2 linked regions of the Stegostoma tigrinum genome follow. The protein of the gene in region 2 purifies or fractionates together with the protein of the main gene of each other region. This does not show direct contact. Links are inferred from orthologs where the notes say so. Each region holds a gene or a part of one and is shown on either strand. Other genes may lie near its edges.

The links. The genes of interacting proteins can lie anywhere in the genome.
Region 1: the proteins of e2f6 (region 2) and mgaa purify together in Homo sapiens (affinity purification with mass spectrometry; 3 studies listed by BioGRID and IntAct, counting the BioPlex papers as one, with this or other methods). This does not show direct contact. The link is inferred for Stegostoma tigrinum from reciprocal best matches to the Homo sapiens genes E2F6 and MGA.

What each region holds. Positions count from the first base shown.
Region 1 is NC_081363.1:79,772,845-79,780,928, forward strand, and holds the start of mgaa (MAX dimerization protein MGA a), read left to right. Parts: upstream 1-5,066; 5' UTR 5,067-6,074; intron 6,075-8,084. UniProt on the Homo sapiens protein: Functions as a dual-specificity transcription factor, regulating the expression of both MAX-network and T-box family target genes. Functions as a repressor or an activator.
Region 2 is NC_081357.1:114,882,886-114,890,178, forward strand, and holds the start of e2f6 (transcription factor E2F6), read left to right. Parts: upstream 1-4,191; 5' UTR 4,192-4,380; coding exon 4,381-4,426; intron 4,427-6,254; coding exon 6,255-6,459; intron 6,460-7,293. UniProt on the Homo sapiens protein: Inhibitor of E2F-dependent transcription. Binds DNA cooperatively with DP proteins through the E2 recognition site, 5'-TTTC[CG]CGC-3'. Has a preference for the 5'-TTTCCCGC-3' E2F recognition site.

The sequences.
Region 1 (8,084 bases), on a different chromosome or scaffold from region 2:
ACATAGGTGCATCATTGACACTTCACTGTACCTTAGTCTAAGTAACCCTTCTTCACCATTACAAACTTCTGCCAGAGGTTCCATTACACTAGAAGTCACTTGCTGTCCCTGTAACTACAGACGTACTAAGTCGGTCAGTTCTCAGGAGTTGTGTGGTGCACGTTGCTTCAACTTTTGCCTCCAGAAAGGGCATCCCTTCCCCCTCTTCCAAGATAGACTTAACAATGCGGGCGTAGCCCCTGGATTCATAACACACAGGACACACCAGGATTCCAACTCCACTCAAGCCATCATGCATCAACAGTTAAGGTTTCACTTTTCCCCTGAGTGAGCTGTTTCCTCCACATCATCTACCCCGACACCTAGTCTCAAGCAACCGTCCTCTGTGAGCCATTTTCTCAGGCTGCCTCCAGCTATCAGTTCAACAACATAGCTGTGGCTACCTGTGTCCAAGCAATTGATGATTCTGCAGGGTTCAGGGTTCCAGACATTCTTTATGTTATTCACACCCCGGCTTTCCAATTCTGAAGGAATATGCTTGCACAGATTGGAAGTTCAGTCCTGTCAACCTTGCAATTGTTCGATGTTTTTCTTCTCAGTCCTCTTGGATACCATCTCGAATGTCTGGCTCAGCCTCATGTGATGCTTGGCTATCCACCTGACCATCCCCATCGGAAGGTGTGGGGAGCCCAAGGAGATGGCCCACAAGAAAGACTGGACCTCATTCAAAGAAGAAGCAGCATGGAGAACAGCCTGTGAGTGAGTGTGGGGTTTTATAAGCATAAATCAGCTCCAGAGGGCTTTCAGGCCACTTTCATTCTTAGGGGCCCTCTCAATTGACACAAAGTTGTTTACCCAGCTGAAAGAATCAAGAATTAAAGGCCTAAGTCTCAGAATGTGGGATTGATGATTTAGGGATTTGAAGGAAGCAAGGAGGCAAGGTGTATAGACAATCATCAGATAAAAGTTGAATCATTTACATTGTCCTTTACCCACTGGATGAAGGAGTGGGGTGGGCGGATGGGTGGTGCAGCTCTTGGCTATGCCACAGACATTGCAAAGCAACCAGAGGATCTTGCTGTTCAAGCTGTGCTCCAGTCACTGTGAATCTGACGTCAAATACTGAAATCACCTACTAACATTCCGGCTATAATTGACACCTATTGGTCATGTGTGAACTTCCCGGAGTTTTCTGTGAATATGAGAACACACTCAGTCCTATCAACTGGAGTGAAGGACCACAAATTCTATTGAAAGCACTTCTAGAGATTTCTTGAGACCAGAGATGGCTTGCTGGGCAAATTTGTTTCCCAGGTTTGACCAAAGTACAATTCGCACAATTAAAACAGTCGACATCAGTAACCGTAATGTGCCAACAATGCTTGACGAGTTGTTTCACCTCTCCTTGACAATGATCCATCCGATAGAGGACTCCAGCCTCCTCCCTGATTCTTTTCCAACACCTCACACTGTTGTCAAGCCAGTTTGGACTCATCCATTAGCTAGTGGCTGTTGTAGGAATGGCACAGTCTCCTGGTGCCCATGTTTGTCAGCTGAAGCTGTCTGAGGTCTTCTTTCGAGATAGAGAGCAAAGGTGAGACAACACTCTCTAGACCTGGTTTGGATCTCACACATAGGTGCATCATTGACACTTCACTGTACCTTAGTCTAAGTAACCCTTCTTCACCATTACAAACTTCTGCCAGAGGTTCCATTACACTAGAAGTAACTTATAGAATGGAAACTAATTACATGATTTGAGGTTTTAAGAACATGTGAAATAACAACAATGCCACATAGATCTTAGAATCTGATCTACTATTCAATAAGATCATAACTGAACTTTTACATTAGCTCCACCTTCCTGTCCTAACCCAATGTCCCTGACTCTCTTCATGCTGAGTAATGTCAGTTTCAGTCTTGAATATATTCAATAACTGAGCATCCAGAGTCCCTGTAGTAGAAAACTCCAAAGATTCACAATCATGAATAAAGAATTCATTCTTCTTCAAATCTCTAAATAGTCAATCCCTCATCCTGAGACTTAGGCCTTTAATTCTTTCCGCTGGGTAAACAACTATGTGTCAACTGAGAGGCCCTCTAAAAATGTATATATATTGCAGTAAGAAAACCTCTCCTGTTCCTAAACTCACCAGAATCAAAGCTCAGTCTACTGCTACTCATAGGACAACTTTCTCATCACACGATTATGCTAAAATATGGCTGGGAGGTACTCTTGACCTCATCGTCCTGGTCAAGGAGGAGGGAAAGCATCTGGAGGATCTCAGAGATGTCATAATTGTGATCATTTTCCAGAAAGGAGACAGGTCCAAGCGTGGAAATTACAGAGGGATATATCTACTGTCTGCCATGAGGAAGGTCATTGCATGAATCCTCCTCAACCACTTTCTGCCAGTGGCTGAAAATCTCCTTCCCGAGACTCAATGCAGCCTCCACCCATCAAAAGGGACAATGGAAACAATTCTCAGTACATGACAAATCCAGGAAAAGTTTAGGGAACAGCACCAAGTGCTGTACACGGCCTTCTTCAATCAGCACAAATCTCTGACAATGGTGAGGGATATCCTCTTCAAGCTCGGCCACCTGTGGAAATCCGTCACCGTTCTCCGTCTGCTTCAGAATGATTTGCAAGCTGTAACCCTTAAAAATGGATCCACCACAGATTTAATACATGTGCAAACAGGGATCAAGTAGGGCAGCATCAACACACCACTGCTGGTCTCCATCTCTATGAAGCTGCCCGTCAGAGTGGGGCTAACCTACAGCACAAACAGGAAATTGTTCAACCTTCATTGCCTGCAGGCCAGAACCAAGACCACCCCAATCTCTGTCATCAAGTTAATCGAGTTACAGTATGTAGATCACGCTTGTGTTTGTGCACATTGGAGGCCATGCTGTGAACCAACACCATCATATTCACCGAGGCATTCAAGAGACTAGGCCTTATAGTAAATATCCAGAAAACAAAGGTTCTCTACAAGCCTGCTCCCGCCACACAACAGGGCCTCTGACCAGCAAACCCATGGTGACAATATGGCTCATTTCCCATATCTCGGTATCCTTTTCTTACTGTGAGCTATGACATTGACAGTAAAATTGAACATTGGCTCCAATGCACCAGTACAGCTTTTGGATGCCTGAGGAACAGAGTGTTCAAAGTTCGAGACCTGAAACCCAGCACAAAGTTCATGGTCAACGGAGCAGCTGTGGACCCCACCCTCCTGTATGTACCGAAAACATGGACAATGTTCAGCCTGAAGTTCTCACCAGGGCTGCCTTTGCAAAATCCTGCAAATCCACTGGCAGGATAAGTGAACTAAAGTGGGTGTTCTCCCTCACAACCCTAGTGTTAAGGCACTGCTGCGATGAGCAAGCAATATTGTCTGTATGCCCAGATATAAGACACCCTAAACAAGCGTTCTACTCCTAGCTCCACAGTGGTAAGTGAACACCAGGAGGGCAGAGAAATTGTTACAGATACCTGATCGCTCCCATCTACATACCTTCTCAAACAGCACCTGGTCCGCTATGGCAGAGTCTGCAGCTCCAGGATTGGACGATTCAACCAACGCATATACCGCCCCCAAGTGCAAGGATGTTATCCTCAACCCTGAGGGACTGCAAAAAGAGAACTACTATGCCTCATATGGCAACCCTGTCATGACAGAATGGTGGTAGTGTAAGGCAAGGACACTGCATTGTTTCCGAGATAAGAAACCCAAAATGGTACATTGTACTCTGGTGTCTTCAGATCAAAGCCTTAGAGTTGCATCTAACCTTTCTTACTCTTACCTTTTTTATGGGTAAACTCGACAAACATTTGCTTTCCTGTTATATTCATTTAGAATATGTTACAAAACTATAACTTATTCAATGATTGAAATATGTATGTTTGTGTACGTTTTGAGATCTATAATAGATTCCCTAAACCCAAATATATCGCCATGGGCGAAGATTGAGAATTTTATAGCCACGGCTAAATCAACATGTCTGCGCAAAATTGATGGAATATGGAGCTGATCGGCCTTCTTCGTATTGTTACTTTTCACTATAACTGCCAACTGATAAAAAGTCAGAATGCAAACGTAGGTTTGTGCCGTGGAAATATCTTCAAGAAAGGTTAAATGACTTTAGGCGGGCAAGATAAAACCCAGGATCAACATCATCTCGTTTAATCACACACGGGCATCTCAAAAAAAACATTCACGGTCCATGACGCCTTTGACGGACCGCCGACACATCCCAACGTGACGGCGGAATAGCGATCGCAAAGGAGTGGTGTACTTTATTATTTTCAAGATGGAAGAACAACGTTTGGCAAACGAAGGTGCACATGCACACACGAACCACTATATGCATGGAGGTGACTTGTGTGTAGGTGCTGGGCGCGGTCTGCCGTTTTGCTGCCTGGTGAATAAGCAGCGTGAAGAGCTGCAATAGGTTTGTGGCAACGCTGCCAGGATTGTTCCAGCGCAAGTGCTTCCGACCCTGGTACAAAACGCTCTTCCCCCACCAACAGCCGGTCTATCTGCTGGGGAGGGGAGGTGAAATGACTTGCATCCCCCATCACCATGGGTCTCCGTGCCGCTGCAGCGTTAACCTGTTGCAGAATCCTCCGGGATTGCTACATTTAGACCTAGGGAGGTACACATGCGCACAAGGACCCAGCAATCCCTTTACGCCTCCTCCGTCCTCGAGGCAGCGAGGTTCGCCCCAAATCCAGCGTCAACCCCCAAACAACCCCACCTCCGCGCACGCGCCTCATGGGCCGTGAGGGCTTCGGGCCCATCCCGGGCCGCGCATGCGTGCCGGCGTGAATGCTGCGGGGCGTCGCAAGGGGAAGGGGGAAAACGTCGGCGCAGGTACAGGCGCAGGAGCCGCCGCCACCCAAACGGCCCACGGCGCACGCGCGGTACCGCCGCAAACGTCAGTGCGCACGCATGTGTCGAGCCGTTAGGTCACACGCAGGGCTATGTGTTGGAGCGGAAGAAACATAAGTCACTGGTGGTGTGGGAGGGGGTGGTCGTGTCAACGGGACAGTCGTGACAGTGTAGGGGTTTTGGGGGAGGGGGAGGAGAGAGCGATGAGAAAACATAACACAGATTGAGGGGGTGGTTGCGATTAGTATTTTTCTCCCTCCAACCAAACCCGCTTCAGTTTCGCTCTCGGCGCGGTGTCGTGCGCGAAGGAGGTGAAGAAGCCGGGGTGCGCGGGGTGCAGGCTGAGCCCACGGAGGGCGTGAGTTGGGCGCGCGCCGGAGATTTTCGTTTCTTCGCCGCACGCGCGCGGCCTCTCCCGCCCGACTCCTCCACCTTCCCGAGGTGCAACGGTCGACGGGCGGGTGGGCCGTAAGGGGAGAAAAATAAGGCAGGCCCCGAGCACGTGACAGCGTGCCACAAGGAGGCGGCGGCGGTGCCGCCAGCTGCAGCAGCCGGACGACGGAGAGGGAGGGGGGGTTGAGAGCAGGGAAGTGCTTGGGGGCGGCGAGATCAGGTCCGGGCAGCCTCCCCGAGGCAGAGGGCAGTGTAAGGCAAGCGTGAGATCAGAAAAAGGGGAGAAGCGTGCGGGGTTGGGGTACTGAGAGGGCAGGAAGTCGGCCATCAGGGAGGAGCTGCAGAAATTAGCACCTCAGTGGCAGCCGCGCTTCCATCGGAGTCCTGGAAAGGGCAGGCTCGGCATGAGGGGTATCCCTCATGCACCTCCTCTTTCACGGGACGAGTCTCTTTTCTTCCAGGGTAATTGAGAGGGCAGGGTAAAGTAGGTGACATCGAAGGGGTGGATTGTCCCTGGCCTCGACTCCACTCTGAAAGCCCACAGGCTGCAAGCAGTCAAGTTTTTTTGGCGGCGGGGGGGGGGAGCTGGGTAAACATCGAGGCTCAGCCAGTACAGCGGAGGTAGTGAAGTGCCATCGGCGGGAGAGGATTTATTTTATTTTGTACCCGTCTCGCCCGGTGCTCCAGGATCTTCCACCGGAGCGGGGGAGAGCGGCACGTTGGAACTGGGCTTGCAGGACGCAGAGCTGAGCACCGGCCTTTCTCTCTCACGCGAAATGGGTAAGAAGGTCTGACTTTTAAACCTCAGCAACGCCTTGCTTTTTCAACTCCCGAATGTTTAAATGGTACGGAACGTGTTCAGCTTTCCGGTGTCAACATCGCCCGGGAGGAGGAGCCGGACCGCTTGTTTTCCCACTGGCGATTTCATCCGGAGAGAAGCGCCAGACAATAAAAACCCTTTTTGTTGTTGTTGATGCCTCCCGTGCGCTTTTGCTTGTAAAGGCATGGCGGGAGTTTGCATTTCCTGCCGATTTCTTTTTTGTTGTTAAAGCAGCGTGGTTTGTACCTGTAAATCGAGAGGCTTGTTGTTTGATCGGGGAGATCCTGTGTACCGCGGGATTGAAGTGCTCTGGGAGGGGGCCGAGGGGAGCTGGGCTTAAAGTGTGAAGCCCGCGATCTGAGCTGAGGCGGTTCTCTAGGACGAATGCGATCAGCAGCATCTTCCAATCTCGACACGTGTGGAATGGATCCACCCAGGCCCGGGCTCACAACAGCCCCAGGACAGCCTCAAATTCCCAATGTACACAGTCCTGGGCAGGCTGCTATTGGCGGCGGGTTTGTTGGTTTGTTTCTGTTTTGGGGACGGATTTCTCTCTCTTCCCCCGTCTCTTTTGCAGTTGACTAAACTCCGCTTGCCCGCATTCCTGTCTTTAAGTTGGAGTGTTTGCTCACCTTATGATTGAAAGGAACAGGCGCTACAGCGAAGGGAGTTGAAGAGAATATTCCCGAATTAACACGGTCAGTTATGCGCCCCTTTTGAGGAAAAGAACGAGATGGGGTTTACCCAACCTCCATGACTGTTAAATTGGAGGAGGTCGATCCACTGACCCCAAGATTGGGGGGGTGTGACCTAGGCTGTAATGCCCATGGTTGGCAGCAGAGGTGTCATGAGCTCTGATTCCCATGTTTGGCGTTAGGCAGTTCAGGGCTTCAAGTTGTTCTGGCCTCTGATCCAAACGGATTTGGATTGTGGGATATTCAGGTATTTCATCCCTAGGGTTTTGTGGTGTAGAATCTCTGGGTTTTGGGGTGTAAGATGTTCTGGTTAGTGAACCATAGGTTTTGATATCAGATCATCAGACCTCTAATCCCCAAGGTTTTGGTGGCATGGAATGTTCTGGTCTCTGATAACCAGGGCTTTAGGAAATGAAATGTCCTGGTAATTGATTTTCACAGTTTTGGGATGGAGGATGTTCTGGCCTCTTTACTGGGATTTGAAATACTTGATATATTGATTTTAATTTTTCAAAATCGAATAGATTCAGGGAAGGTTCCTTTAGATTGGAAAGTAGCTAATGTAACTCCTTTTATTATCTAGGCAGAGAGGCAGAAAGCAGGAAATGACAAGTCATTTAGCTTAACTGTCATGTGCCAAATCTCAGAAGCTGTTATTAAAGATTGTAGAATGGGCCCAAATAAAGTTCAGGGTAATCAAGCAGAGCCAACATCGTCATGTCAAAGGGAAATCATATTTAACTAAATTTATTGAAATTTTTTAAAAGAGGTAACACATGCTAAAGACAAAGGAGATCAGTGGATGTACTGATTTGGATTTCCAGAAAACATTTGAGATGCCACATCAAAGGTTATTATGGAAAATGAAACTTCATGGTGTAAAAGGTAACATACTTGGCATGGATAGAGGATTGGCTTGCTAACAGTAAGCAAACAGTAGGAGTAAGTGGATGTTTTTTAGAACAAGTGGTGTGTCACAGTGTTCAGTGCTTAAGCATCAACCGATTACACTTATTCAATGATTTGGATGATGGGTTCAAAGGTATGGTATTGGAGTTTGTTGATGGCACAGTTATTTAGGGAAGTGAGTTGTAAAGAGGATATAAGGACCCTACAAAGGGATATAGGTTAGGGGGATGAGTTAGCTCTGGCTGAATGCTGGTGATGGATGCTAGAGTCTTGGTTCATTTTCTGCAGTTGTTTAGATTACAATGAAAGTCTCTTCTTCACAACCACTCCCCTCACCTGAGGTTTGGTAACCCTAGGGTTAAACTA
Region 2 (7,293 bases):
TCTGGCGAAGGGTCTAGGCCCGAAATGTCAGCTTTTGTGCTCCTAAGATGCTGCTTGGCCTGCTGTGTTCATCCAGCTCCACACTTTGTTATCTCGGGTTCCCCAGCATCTGCAGTTCCCATTATCTCTGAATCTAATAGAGCCTGGTTTGTTGTTGCCAAACAGAAAGACTAGTAGGTCATTCAACAACTTGGATCAGTTTCAGAATTCCGTTCACCTGACTTGACTCCATATCATTTTATACTGTTGTCTGGTAAAAACCCATTATCTCCAATTTAACTATTAATAAAGGATCAAATACCACATTTCTAACACCCTACCAGGTAGAAATGCTTTCTAATTTCTCTTGCGAATACCCAGCTCCAATTTTGGGATTATGTCCTTACCCACCAAGGGGAATGATTCTCTGTGTCTATGTCCTTCATTCATTCCAAAATCATTAAAATATGAATGCACTCACTGCCTTGACCTAATATATTCTTGGGAATACAAGTCTAGTCTATCTAAGCATCCTTCATAATTTAACCCTTGGAGCCCTGACAAGACACTGCTGAATCTGCACAATTCTGTGTCCTCTAATTGTTAAGCCTTCAGTCATTAGAAAAAGTTTCCCCATTATTAACTCTTTGTAAAGTCTTCATTTTAAACGTCTTTCTGAAGCTAAATTCTTTCCGAGGTATGACGTTAAGAATTGTACATGGTACTCCAGATGTGGTCCAACCAAGGCTTTGCAGAGATACAGTTCAACTTTTGCTCTTTTATATCCTACAGCTCTAGCTTTAAAATATAACATTTGAATTTTTTTGTCCTTGCTGACCCTAATTTATTGATGTGTGTATATAGGTCTCTTTGGACCTCCACTGTTCCTAGTTAATCATCACTTTAGCAATATTCAGATCCATTATTTTCAGTTGGTTTAAGATGGAAGCCCTTGCCCTTGCTTGTGCTGAAATCCAAAACATCAATATTTATTTTCCTGAGTTTCCTGGTCTCTAATTCCTTGTCCACAGTAAAAACTGATGATAAATACTTGTTTCGTATCTCTTCCATCTCCTGTGGTTCCATGCATAGACAACCTTGTTGATCTTAAAGGGGCCCTTTTCTCTCCCTTGTTGTTCTTTTGCTGTGAATTTATTTGCAGAATCTCTTTGGACTATCTTCAGCCTTATCTGTCAAGGCTATCTCATATTCCCTTAATGCCCTCCTAATTTTCCTCTTAAGAATGCCCCTACAACCCTTACACTGTTCTAGAGATTCACTTGATCTCAATTGTCTATATCTAATATATGACGCCTTCCTAAACATGACTTGAGCCAAATATCTTTAATCATCCATGGTTCCATACTCTTACCATCCTAACTCTTCACTCTGAAAGGAACATAATGCCCCTGAAATAACAAGGTGTAGAGATGGATGAACACAGCAAGCCAAGCAGTATCAGAGGAGCAGGAAGGCTGACGTTTCGGCCATAGACCCTTCTCTTATTATCTCAGATTCTCCCAGCATCTGCAGTTCCTACTATCTCTGAAACAATAATGCCTCTGAATTCTTGTTATCTCACTTTTGAAAGCCTCCCATTTGTCAGTCATCCCTTTACCTGTGAACAGTCTACTCGAATCAATTCTTGAAAATTCCTGTCTCATACCATCAAAATTTGCTTTATTCCAATTAATAACTTTAATTTTTATAAAAGGCCAATCCTTTTCCATAACTATTTGAAAACAATTAAAACTGTGATCACTGGTCCCAAAGTACTCCCCTAGTAACACTTCAGTCACTTGCTCTGCCTTATTTCCCAACAGAAGGTCATGTTTTGCTCCTTCTCTAGTAGGTACATACACATCAATAAAGAAAATTTTCTTCAATACATGTAACAAATCCCTCATCATCTAAGTCCTAACAGTGAATACACTCCACCCCTTAATTATTGCATACCTTATTACTGCTTCATTTCTATTCTGACCCTCTGCTCTTGGGATGGCATCCTCTTCTACAGTGCCTAGTTTAGGACATTCCTGCCAGCAATGTTCACTTTAGCCTCACAGTGTCAACTACATTTTCTCTGAGATAATGGGAACTGCAGATGCTGGAGAATCCAAGATAATAAAGTGTGAAGCTGGATGAACACAGCAGGCCAAGCAGCTTCTCAGGAGCACAAAAGCTGACGTTTTGGGCCTCGACCCTTCATCAGAGAGGGGGATGGGGAGAGGGATCTGGAATAAATAGGGAGAGAGGGGGAGGCGGACCGAAGATGGAGAGAAAAGAAGATAGGTGGAGTGGAGAGTATAGGTGGGGAGGTAGGGAGGGGATAGGTGAGTCCAGGGAAGACGGACAGGTCAAGGAAGTGGGATGAGGTTAGTAGGTAGGAAATGGAGGTGCGGCGTGGGGTGGGAGGAAGGGATGGGTGAGAGGAAGAACAGGTTAGGGAGGCAGAGACAGGCTGGGCTGGTTTTGGGATGCAGTGGGGGGAGAGGTCTAGGCCCGAAACGTCAGCTTTTGTGGTCCTGAGATGCTGCTTGGCCTGCTGTGTTCGTCCAGCTTCACACTTTATTATCTTACATTTTATCTGTTGTGCAAGACTTCCTCTTCTTCTATCTAAACTAGGTTCACCTTACTCTACTGGCTGGCACTTTTCTGAGACGTGGCTACACTCTATGGAAAACTAGCCAGAACCTCCCTTCCTCTCTTGTCAGAATTTCTGCTGGAGTCTCTCAATACAGATGTGACAGAGGAATCCCACTGCCCACAAATTCCCACATATCAGTCCTGACACGTGGCCATGTCAAGCTTTTATTTACTTGCTAGTAATAATTTAGTTCTAGATAGAATTGCTTGACTTCGATTGTAGAAAAGATTAATTCAGCTTGATTTCAAGTCATTTTTGTTTTTATTGATTTCTTTTTTTTTGTTTTCTAACAATTTATTATTTATTATTTAAGGAGACGAGATTTTAAATATGCAATTCGGATCTCTAAATTTAAAATGCTTAATTAGTTGCAGATTGGCCCCCTCTGAGCTGACTGCAATGTAAAGTTAGCGCTCCCTGAAGATCACTGCCAGTATAACAGCTCCAAGAGCAACTTTTTCTGCTGTAATAAAACGAGAGAACAGCAGAGAGCAGTAACGTCGAAACATTTAAACAGGTTTAAACAGGCTAAAAATGTGTTATTTTATTCAGAAATACCCATCCTTTTACACGTGTTACAAAATTATTATGATCATTCGGAATTGTCAATTCAACAAAGTGTGAATTAGAGCAATAAAAATCAGAGCTAATGAAAATACAGGTGGGAATGGAGTTTAAGTCCTAGACTTTGGTGTGTATTTTCTAATGGTCCTATTATGCATCATATTGAATATAAGCTCTATATTTAGTGCAGTTGAAGTGTTGAAGTAATGATAATTTTAATAAGAGAATGAAAAATGCCAAAAGTAATTTTAAGAAAAGACTATGTTTCAATGTATTATCAGAGTTGATGAAAATATAGATGGGAGCAGAGTTTAAATCCTAGACTTTGATGTGCACTTTTCTAAGGGTCCTTTTATGCATTCCTATTAATTAAATTAGAGCCAGCATTTAGAGCAGCTGAAGTGTAATAATAATGATAATTTTAAGAAGAGAATGAAAAATGCCAAAAGCAGTTTTGAGAAAAGACTATGTTTCACTGTGTTAACCAGGCTGCACTGCAACGTCTATTCACAGGCGCGATCCGACTACTGATGGGCACGGGGGTTTTGACCTGCTCCGTTTCCGACCTGGGCCGATTCACCCCTCTTTACCCGACCTGGTGAACCCGGATTCCTCCAGGGACACCATATCGATGCCCAACTTAGTGAGGACACCTGATCGGCATAGTCCGCAGCAGCCCAGAACTCCTGGTCTCAAGCAATCCGATAGCCTCAGCCTCCGAGTCGCCGGATTACAGGCGCACGCCACCGCGCCCGGCGAATACTGCTGCTGCTCAAAAGATACTTCAACCCAACGTCACAAAGCCTTGTGTGTGATGTAGGCACGTCATTCATCTGTGGAGGCGGTGCCACGGCCAAGGGCCCGCGTTCTACTCATCCATATTCATAGAGGAGGCGGGTTTTGTAGGTCGGGCGGGAAAGGCGAGCAAAGCTGGCAGCTATCGGCTGGCGCATGCGTCGGAATGCCGCCGGTGGGCGGGTTGGCGCATGCGCCGGGATGCCTTTTGGGCCTGCGTGGCAGCGTGTTGTTGTGTGTGGCGGGGGAATAGCAGGAGAGGAGCAGGGAGGCGACGGGTGGGAAGCGAGGCGGTTTCGTCTCAGAGCAGTTCCGTGTAGGATTGGCAGTACCAGGGGTGGGGGAAGGGGGTGAGACAGTAACAAACATCAGCGCCACCCCCCTAGCCCCCAGCAATGGAGGACGAGAGCAGCTCCCGGGTAACCTCAGCGCCCAGATCCAGTGAGTCTGACTGAGCCCTGGCACCAGGCTCTCATCTGTCTGTTTAACTGTCTTTGTCTATCTCCAAGTTCCCCCCGTCTCTCTCTCTCTCTGACACACACGCACACCCTCCTGTCCCCTCTGTGTTTACATGTAACACTCCCAGTCCTTCCACAGCATCAAGATGGCACTGCTTCTTCCTAGGGCCTCGATCAGCTTCATTAGAGATCATCCGGACAACCTTTTCTGTTTCTTCCCACCCCCACGCGAAAAAGTATCCACCCTTGCCAAACTAAATAAATCCAAATCGTGTTTTTTTTAAAGAAAGACGGATCCACGTGCACGTGTGCAGGACACTGTTTACCAATGTTTACTCCACCGTGTATTCGAATCTGGGCCAGACTAGGTTCCATTGAAATTCATTACAAAGGGAATTAAACGGAAGTCAGGGTATGGGCTAAAGGAATGTATGAATAAATAACACATTTTGTTTGGACGTTTGTCTTCTGCAATGTATTGGGCCTGGACTTGGGACTACACTTCGAAGTTATACTAAGAACAATTACCTCTAGTAATTGTGATTTACTTGAGGCTTAGTTTTAATTCGACTCAGGTCTTTACGATGTTTTAAAAATTTGCTAGGTTGTCAAAATGTAATGTATTCCACTTAACTTAATTGTCAGGAATTTTATGCCTGAATTTATTTCATTTGCATGCATGCAAATTATTTTCTAGAATGCACACTAAACAAATTACAATGCCTGCTGCTAACTTTATATGTCATTTCCAGCACTGTTTAATGGCCTATCAGAAACACATTTAGCACAATACAATATACTTTTGGCAGTAGATGAGAAAGGATGTCCTAAATGTTAAGTTGTAACAAACTGTTGAAATGATCATTTACACTTTCATTGTTTAGTCCAAGCGATGGTTTTTATGTTGATTCCTGTCCAAACCACACATTCATTTCCTGACCCAGTACCAGTGCAGGTGTCCCATGAAAATGGAATACATTCTACCGTGTCAATGCAGATTGTTTTATTTTAGAAGACCAAAATACGAAAGGACTTAAAGCTGTCATCACAAGTACATATATGGCCCCAGGAAGCCGCTGTGAAGTGATAGATTCCCACACCCTTTAATTACCTGTTCACCAACTCAATCTGCTCATTTGTTTCTAATCTATTAGGCTAATTTTGCATGTGGTTCATGTGTTAGGTTAGATTATTGCCTTCACAACAATGTTTTATTTTAGCATATAGTTCCTGGTACTTACTCGCAGAACAAAGTTCTGAAATCCGTTCACTGCACTGATTCTAATAGCTTGTGCATTTCTGGTTTCAGTCACATTACTTTTGACTACGTAAACCTGTAATTTTGTGGCATAACCTTTCAACCTTAGTGCCTCTGTCCTCTTAAAATGCTCCATAAAACCTGTTTCTCTGACCAAGCTTCTAGTTAACTGCCCTAATATTTCCTTAAGTGACTCATCAAATTTGCTTTAACTACATACATTTGACACTCTTTGGGACATTTTGCTTTGCTAAAATTTAGGGTTAGGAAATAAATGAAAATTGCAAATTGTTATACTGTCTGCCAAAGTGTAAAATTACTAAAATAAACATGTATAAAACAAACATCTTAGTTCCACAATATTAACATGCGATTTCTAAATGGCATTTTTGGAGTAGGTTTTATGAGAATTGACAATACAATTCTCTATTTTTCTATTAGTCATACATCCATTACACATTTCAGTTGCATTTTTATCAAATTTTATTTCAATAATACCAGCATTTCTGTTTTTAAGATTGAAAGTTAATGTTGTTTTCCTGTTTTGTAACAGCAAAAAAGCCACGTTTTGATGTGTCCCTAGTGCATCTAACGCAACAGTTTATGGAACTTGTGAAGGAGGCACCTGATGGCGTCCTTGACATGAATGATATTGCAAAGATGCTTGGGGTGCGAAAGCGAAGGGTTTACGATATCACCAATGTACTTGATGGGATTCGTCTTGTGAGAAAAAAATCAAAAAATTTAATTGAATGGATGTAAGTCATTTTTACACTTCCTGTAAATTGATTTATTTTATAAAATTCACTGGTATTCATTCAGGCATATCTCTACATGATTTTGTGTTCATTATAAAGGTGGGCTCAAGAGCATGATATGTGATTCTCAAAATAATTTTCGATGAAAATTGAATTTATTTTTACTTTGACGTGAATGCAGCTTTCAAGTGGAATCCCATAGTTATCAGTGAAATTGTATTGTAAATATTTTTGCATGCTCTGAATCCAGATTTGAATTCAGGCTAGGCTGGTGAGATGCAAGTTTCATTTTCTGTCCTGTACCCACTGCTGCTGAAGTCCACAAAAATGTAATTTGGGCCATCCATTAGAATTCTTAATTTGTATGTCTGCAATACAGATTACTAAAGTATTGCCTTTTTACTTTAAAATAATTCTTATTTTCCAGTCCAGTCCCTCCACAGCCTGGTTCCTTGTTACCTCTGTGACCACCTACACTGCCCAGCCATCCAAAGATGTCTGTACTCCTCTAGTTCTGTCCTCTCAAATTTAGTTGCTCTGTCATTAGACAAGCTTTCAGCTGCTTATAATAACAAAATGAAATATTCACAAAACATGTTTGCAGCTCGAAGGTTGAATTGCAGTGCAACTGCATCGAAATAGTCATATAATGACTATGTAATCAGGTTAATAATGTAATAATCGTATGACAACAAAAGTAAAGAGACAGATTTCAGCAAACAACAGGAATGTATTAAACAGGATATTACAACATAAAATTGAATTTTAAAATTACACTAAAATTAGAAACTAATTTTATTATAGGTACATATTAATTTCATCATGTAGGTACTT